Linked DNA regions of Canis lupus familiaris. The protein of the gene in region 2 binds, or shares a complex with, the protein of the main gene of each other region. Links are inferred from orthologs where the notes say so. Each region holds a gene or a part of one and is shown on either strand. Other genes may lie near its edges.

Evidence for each region.
Region 1: the proteins of PLEKHM2 (region 2) and ARL8B are in contact, whole or in part, in a crystal structure (PDB 8JCA), measured with the Homo sapiens proteins. The link is inferred for Canis lupus familiaris from reciprocal best matches to the Homo sapiens genes PLEKHM2 and ARL8B. Residues at the interface, in NP_055979.2 of Homo sapiens: His70, Phe71, Thr72, Arg73, Arg74, Glu75, Glu103, Ser105, Glu107, Ser108, Tyr109, Arg111, Leu112, Glu115, Glu147, Phe148; in NP_060654.1 of Homo sapiens: Glu22, Thr52, Val53, Gly54, Phe55, Asn56, Met57, Lys68, Trp70, Arg77, Phe78, Arg84, Tyr85, Arg87, Gly88, Val89.

What each region holds. Positions count from the first base shown.
Region 1 is NC_049241.1:12,598,816-12,602,940, reverse strand, and holds the start of ARL8B (ADP-ribosylation factor-like protein 8B), read left to right. Parts: upstream 1-1,320; 5' UTR 1,321-1,518; coding exon 1,519-1,641; intron 1,642-4,125. UniProt on the Homo sapiens protein: Small GTPase which cycles between active GTP-bound and inactive GDP-bound states.
Region 2 is NC_049223.1:81,354,722-81,358,231, forward strand, and holds part of PLEKHM2 (pleckstrin homology domain-containing family M member 2), read right to left. Parts: intron 2,930-3,510; coding exon 2,084-2,929; intron 1,849-2,083; coding exon 1,779-1,848; intron 1,676-1,778; coding exon 1,585-1,675; intron 1,273-1,584; coding exon 1,208-1,272; intron 852-1,207; coding exon 763-851; intron 143-762; coding exon 10-142; intron 1-9. UniProt on the Homo sapiens protein: Plays a role in lysosomes movement and localization at the cell periphery acting as an effector of ARL8B.

The sequences.
Region 1 (4,125 bases), on a different chromosome or scaffold from region 2:
CAGGGATCCCCAATTTAAATTTTTTTGTATATTTTTTATTGGAGTTCAATTTGCCAACATATAGCATAACACCCAGTGCTCATCCTGCCAAGTGCCCCCCTCAATGCCCATCACCCAGTCACCCCAACCGCCTGCCCACCTCCCTTCCACCACCCCTTATTCATTTCCCAGAGTTAGGAGTCTCTCATGTTCTGTATTTCTCACTGATTCTTTCTTTCTTTCTTTCTTTCTTTCTTTCTTTCTTTCTTTCTTTCTTTCTTTCTTTCTTTCTTTCTTTCTTTCTTTCTTCCTTCCTTCCTTCCTTCCTTCCTTCCTTTTTCTTTCTTTCTTTCTTTCTTTCTTTCTTTCTTTCTTTCTTTCTTTCTTTCTTTCTTTCTTCTTTTTTAAATATTTATTTATTTATTTATTTATGATAGACATAGAAAGAGAGAGAGAGAGGCAGAGACACAGGAGGATGGAGCAGGCTCCATGCACCGGGAGCCTGATGCGGGACTCGATCCCGGGTCTCCAGGATTGCGCCCTGGGCCAAAGGCAGGTGCTAAAACACTGAGCCACCCAGGGATCCCCCTCTCACTGATACTTTCACTCATTTTCTCTCCTTTCCCTTTATTCCCTTTCACTAATTTTTATATTCCCCAAATGAATGAGACCATATAATGTTTGTCCTTCTCCGATTGACTTGCTTCACTCAGCATAATACCCTCCAGTTCCATCCACGTCGAAGCAAATGGTGGGTATTCATCCTTTCTCATGGCTGAGTAATATTCCACTGTATACATAGACCACATCTTCTTTATCCACTCATCTTTCGATGGACCCCTAGGCTCCTCCCACAGTTTGGCTACTGTGGACATTGCTGCTAGAAACACCGGGGTGCAGGTGACCTGCCGTTTCCCTGCATCTGCATCTTTGGGGTAAATCCCCAGCAGTGCAATGGCTGGGTCGCACACTCGGGGTTTTTTTAAATCGGTTCCCCCTTGATACAACACTTAGGGCTTCCCATCTTTTGCGACGACCAAAAATGTAGGAAGAGGTCTTCGCTGCATGGCGAGTGGCTCGCGCGTTGAAGACTTTCCGCGGAGAGCCGACTGTCCATAAACGGTTGCAGCAAGAGCGAGCTGACCCCTGTTAGGAGCCAGCCAGCAGCGCAGGTGGGGAGCCCTGGGGCCGCTCCCAGGGCCGCTCCCCGGTACGCGGCGCTTCGCGGAGGCTCCAGCAGGTGGCGCTGCAGGCGGCAGCCGCGCCCGGCCGCCCGGGCCACGTCGCTCTTGCCGTGGGCGCCGCCGGTGGCGCGGGGACGAGCGTGGGGGGCAGGGCGAGTCATATGACCCGCTCGGCTTCCTGGCTCCGGCCGCCGCCGCCCGCCCGTGTCCGCCAGTGGTGCGCCGCGGCCCCGAGGAGCCGTTGAGGGGTCGGGGCTGAGGCCCGCTCGAGTGGAAGCCGTCGCTGCCGCCGCCGCCGCCGCCGCCGCCGCCCGCCCGCCCGGCCGCCCGCGCGTTCTCCCTCCCGGCCGCCATCATGCTGGCGCTCATCTCCCGCCTGCTGGACTGGTTTCGCTCGCTCTTCTGGAAGGAGGAGATGGAGCTGACGCTGGTGGGGCTGCAGTACTCGGGCAAGACCACCTTCGTCAATGTCATCGCGGTGAGTGCCGCCGTCCGCGAGTCCGGCCCGGCGCCGGCCCGAAGGCCCGGGCCGGGGCTGCCGTCAGCGCGACGGGGCTAATGGGAGTGGGACGAGGGGAGGAGGTCAGCCGTTCCTGCCCCCTCCGCGGGCTGGGGCCGGGGGCCGGGGGCCGGGGTTCCCGCGTGCTGTGGTGCGCCGCGCCCGGCCGCCGCCTTCTGCAAAGGGCCGGCCGGGTCCTCCTCGCGGGCGGGGGCTTGGAAGGGGCACACGTTGGCCTCGTCGCGCCTGTAGGGATGGGGGTCTGCGCATCGGGTTTGCTCCGGGGCGGGGGTGGGGGGACACCTGAAGGCTTCGCTCCAGCCTGCACTTCCCCGAAGGGTGGGATTTGGCGAGCTGTCAGCCCCGTGAGAAAGCGTGAGGCTCGGAGCGTCTCTCAAGTGGCCGCTCGGGACGGGGAGCGCCGTGGTGCGGGGAGCAGCAGGCCGGCGCGGGGCGCCTTCCCGAGCACCGCGGACGGGATGTCTCCCTGTAACGCAGTTTACTGGTTTTCAGTGGTCCCCCTGGGGGCGGAGAGCAAGTTCAGCGCTGCCTGGGCTCGCCGGTAGGGACTGGGGAGGGGCGCTTCCAGCCCGTCCAGTGCTCGGTGGTCCGCAGCATTTATTAAGCCAAGCAGTTAAGGGGGGGGGGGGGGGCTTCTGCTTCTCCAGGGAAAGGGTGTCTAGGAGGGAGCTTGCCCTGGGAACCTGTATTGCACGCAGTGTGGTGCTTATTTAGTCAGCCTCGGTTGAGTGGAAGGATGATGATTGAATTTTGCTTGGGTGGTTAGTTGCGGGGAAGGAATAAGAGAGAAAGATGCTCTTCCATCTCAGTTTAGAGGCCCGGAGTTGATGTGACTCACTTGTAGCTGATAGGTGCTCGTACTTGTCAGGCATGAGCTTTGGAACTGTTTTAAAGAGAGAGGGCAGCAGTTCTTCCATCTTTTAGAGATGGTGGTTGAAATCCTTATTTCATAGACCAGTGGCCCAACTGGTTTGGTTACAGGAATGATTCAAACACAGCTCCCTTGTGGGAGAAAATATGTAACGTGTGACTCTTAGTCCTGCAGTAGTGGAGCAGCAGGAGTGAGTAAGACTTGAAGAAAAAGACGAGCAGAGATCCAGACTTCCTTTGAGGAACGTTGCATATAAGTATAAAAGAAAATTTGCCTACTTGTTTGGCTCCTCTTTGGCTCCTCTAGTGATGTGGTGGTGGTGGTGATGTTTTGGGTTTTGTTTTGGCTTGGGATGACTAACTTTTCAACATATATAGTAGAGTGGAAAGTATATGATAGCACCAAAATTAGTTTGAAATCCCTGTGGAGGGATCCCTGGGTGGCGCAGCGGTTTGGCGCCTGCCTTTGGCCCGGGGCGCGATCCTGGAGACCCGGGATCGAATCCCACGTCGGGCTCCCGGTGCATGGAGCCTGCTTCTCCCTCTGCCTGTGTCTCTGCCTCTCTCCCTCTCTGTGTGACTATCATAAATAAATAAAAATTAAAGAAAAATCCCTGTAGATTAAATATTCATACTAGAGCTTTTATAGGATATGGGAAAGACTTAGTTAACTGTAAATTTTCTGGTGTTCTCTTGAGAGATAAGAATTGGAATCTCCTTGTAAACCTGATTTTTTTTTTTTTACAAGACTGAATTAATATATAGTGTAGATGTAGGTGTATTACTACAATTAATTGTTGTATTTGTTGCAGAGTAGTTATTCTTGGGAAACTTGAAAAAGTTTAGTAAGTCTTTGAAGAACTTCTAAAGGCCTGAGCATGAAAATTATGCTTATTATGTTCTTTTTTTTTTTTTTTTTTTTAAGATTTTATTTGTTTACCCATGAGAGGCAGGAGAGAGAGGCAGAGACACAGGCAGAGGGAGAAGCAGGCTCCATGCACCGGGAGCCTGATGCAGGACTCGATCCCAGGCCCCAGGGATCACCGGCAGAGGCTCAACCACTGAACCACCCAGGCGCCCCTTATTATGTTTTTCATAGATGGTGTAGTTTATTATAATGAGCAAGAACTTTGAAGTCAAGGAACTCTGGGTTTGCAATCTGGCTCTTCCACTCAGCAGCCTTGTATCTTCTTTCAGTCCTCCTTGATTTCTCATCTATTAAATAGAGATAATAATATGTTTCTTAAAGAGTTGTTCTGGGAAGTAAATGAAATGACACATAGTAAGTGACTAGCACCAAGCCTGCCCATAGAAGGGGCTGGGTAAGTGGTAGCTGTTGTTATTTGTAGCCAATACATTGCTTCTTTAATGCAGAAACAGTGTTTTGAAAAATATTCAGAAGGGAATTAGCTGGGTTCATTTCCTTCTTTGAATCTGATTTATCCAAATGTGTGCTCCAAGAGTGGATTTATGGACTGTGGCAAATAATCATATCATGTACTCTCCCCCCCCCCCCCGCCCCAATTTAAAAAATATATTAGATTATTTTAACAGCAGAGCTTCTGGAACACT
Region 2 (3,510 bases):
GGCACTTACCTCACACTTGGACTCCTGGGCCACAAATTTGGCCAGTGCCAGCTTCTCCATGGTGGCATCAGTCAGGATGCTGGGGTAAGGTGGTTCCCGGCAGCCTTTGATCATTGCGGACTTCAAAGAAGCCAAGAAGAACCTACACAGGGAGTGGGGTTTGCTGTCAGAGGCCCCGGGGGGGTGGCAGCGGGGAGGCCTGCCTCTCAACTGGACAGGATTCTGGCCTGGGGGCACAGAAACTTCAGGGAGGTTGCTGGCTGGAGCCAGAGCTCAGGGCAGCAGCTGGGGCAGTGATGCCCAGCGATCACTGGCCTCAAACGATGACCTGGAAAAGGCCATTCCCAGTGGCCAGGGGCCCGGGCGCTGCCGGCGAGGGAGGACCAACCCCGGTGGTGCAGCGGAACCGGAGTGGGTGGGACCCAAGTCAGTACAACGACACGATCTCATTACCAGTAATTTTTGTATGAAGGCATCGGGGGGGGGGGGGGCACCCATGGCCCCCGTGGCCCAGCAGCCGGACTCGTGTTCTTGCTGATAACTCACGTCAGCCCTCAGGCCAGTCCTCTCTGGAGGCCACACAGGGTCTGAGGTCACCTGAGCTGATGACGTGAGTCCGTCAGTGTGCTTGCACGCTTCCAGCAGGTGCCAGAGGGAACACACCTGATCTCCACTTCTCTGTTTCCTACCTTGCACCCTCCATCCCTAGGGGCGGGGGCTCCAGGCCAGGGGAGGTAGGGGGGGCAGGGGCATGTCACTCACTCGGCCAGGGCCACGTCGGCCGTGTCCAGCAGAAACTGCTTCCTGCGGTTGGTGCACACCAGCTTCACCGTCTGCTGGTCGAGGCCCACCTGCCGGAAACAACAGCTTCACATGCGCACGGGGCTCGGCTGCTGCGGAAGAGGCAGCCCGGCCAGGTGAGGGCTGCTGGGGAGGGAGGAAGCACGCCCTGGAGTGGCCGCAGGGAGAGCCCCCGAGAGCTGGGGAGGGATGGTCAGAAATATGGTGGATGAAGAGGCATCTCAGACTCGGTTCTTATCCCCCGCATCACCTGTAGAAGCTGCTCGAGAGATAAGCTGACGCCCTGACCCCGGGGGCGCTGGGGCCAAGGCAGGACACGCCTCCTCTGCAGCTACGGTGGGTGGCCGGGTGGGCGCCCGAGGGGCCCTGTCCTACAGCATATGGCAACTGCAGAGCCTGCACTCACCGACACATAGTCAAGTTCATTGTAAGAAACAGCCTCTTCCACCAGGTATGGCTTCTCCGCGGCCCCTGAGAGAGGAGACCCCGATGCCTATAACTCGCAGTGGCCTCTTTTCCCTCCCCCTGCCCCATGTCTAAGACCTGGCCTCTCTGAGAGAGGACCCGTCCCTGCCCTGCGATCTGACACGGTGGAGGAGGCGGAGGGCGCGGGGCTCGTGGCAGGCAGGCCCCGGCTCCCACGGGGCTGCCGGGACGGCCGGTGGCACCCGCTGGGGTGTTTCGGTCACCACCAGGCGGCCGAGAGCCAGGGTGGGGGGCGCAGAGAAAGGGAGGGAGTCAGTCTCATCCTCTGCCTCTGGCCGGGCCCGGGGCGGCAGGCACCTTTCCGAAGCAGGTAGACGTAGCAGTCTGTGAGCAGCACGTAGAGCAGCTGCAGGTTGCCCTCCATGTGCCCGGTACTCATCCGGATCATCTGCGGGGCCGACACGGAGCGGGGTCAGGCGCCCCGGCCCCCGCCGCCCCGGCCCGGCCAGCACGCCTCCCGCCTCGGCCGTCCGTGAGCTCCCGGGACTCACTTTGAAGAGCTGCTCTTCGTTTTCTCGGAACACGTGGATCATCAGCAGGAGTAAGTGATTGTTGTCCACTCTGAGAGAGGGACACGCGTGGGGAGGGTGTCAGGCTAGGCCAGGGGCGGGCGGCTCTGCCCCTGACCGCAGCCGCAGTGGCGGTGGCGGGGACACTCCCAGCCCACCCCGCCTCCCGGCCCAGGCCGGGGCGTCCACGGCTGCGCTCAGGGTATCTGGAGGGCAGATGCCCACCGTCGCGGGCCGCGGGGCGCCGGGGGCGAGTGTCAGGCCGGCCGCCCGGGGGGCCCCCTCACCTGAACTCTGCCGAGTGGGTCGTGTCCGACGGGCTCCCCTGCCCCTCATCCACCCCAGAGTCCTCAGCGCTGCTCACGCACGGGCTGGGCCGGTCTCGCTTGAGCTGGCAAAGAGCCTCGCGGGCCCCCGGCTCCGGTTCAGGCACAGGCCCCTCCCGGACCAGGGGCGACTCAGGGTCCAGTTCCCGGGGCTCTGGCCCCCCGGCCTCCCTCGGGGCGCGCTCTAGGGGCCCAGGCGTCTGTCCCTCTCTTCCTCCTCCTCCCTCTTCTTGGCCAGCAGTCTCAGGGCTACCAGGAACATGCAGCGGTTGGCCAGGCCCTGCAGGGTCATGGTTGCTGCCACCTGATGTAAGAGTGCTTGGACTCTCGACGGTAAAGCGGTAGAAGTCCATGGGGGCTGGAAGCCCCTCACTAAAGTCGCAACATGGTGGCTTCTCCGGGGCGTCCCCGGGAGAGCCGGCCCGAAAGGACTGGTCTGGGGACTGGGCGTGGGAGCGCCAGGTGCTGGGGTCCAGCTGCCCGTTGAGCTGGTCGATCACCTTGCTCAGGGGCTGCCCCAAGCGCTCCATGGACGTGTCCTTCATCTCGGGGATAAGCAGGCCCACCGGGCCGGGCTCCGAGAGCTCGCTGCTCTCGGCTGTGCTGCTGGGCCCCTCTCCCTCCTCCTGGGGGGGCGTAAAGGTGGCGTCCGGGGACGCCCGCCCCAGGCCTGGGCTGCTGACAAGGCTGTCACCATCCCCCCCGCGGCGGGCACAGCCGTCCTGGGTGGAGGAGGGGTGGAGGGGGCTAGCCTCCTCATCCGACCTCGCCTTCTTCTTCTTGCCGGTCTTCTTCTTCTTCGTGACCCTGGACAGGAGTGATGGGGCAGGCTTACCACCTGAGCGCCGCAGTACCGGGCAATTAGGTGGGCTGGGTCGAAAGGGGGGATCTGGGCATGTGACCTCTGAGGGCATAGCCAGGGCTTCAGAGGTCCTGGGTGGGAGGCCCCAGGCCAGGGGGCCGGAGCAGCTCAGGCCCTGAGGTACGCCCCCGTTGCTGGAGGCGGGGACCCGAGGAACCCCTGAGCACGTCCCACGAGTTCTAGCTGAGGACGCAGCTGTGCCAGCTGTGCTCTCGGGAGCAAACACAGGCCCTGGTCGGTCAGAACGATGGCACCTCCACTTGGCCCTCCCCTTGGGATGTGGCCAAGGGACCCTGAGCTGACCTCACTTCCCAGCAGGTTATCACCGGGGATGGCTCAACCAGAAGTGCACTCGAAGTCTTCTGGGCTCACACTTCTTTGGTTGCAGGGTGGCTGGAATGGGTCTGGCAAGGCGACCCCAGGTCGGAGCCACTTAAGCTGCTCAGGCCTTGAACTGACCCACAGAGCGGGACCCCTGACCCCCCCCTCGGGCCAGCAAGCCTCGGAGGGTACGACACGCACAGCA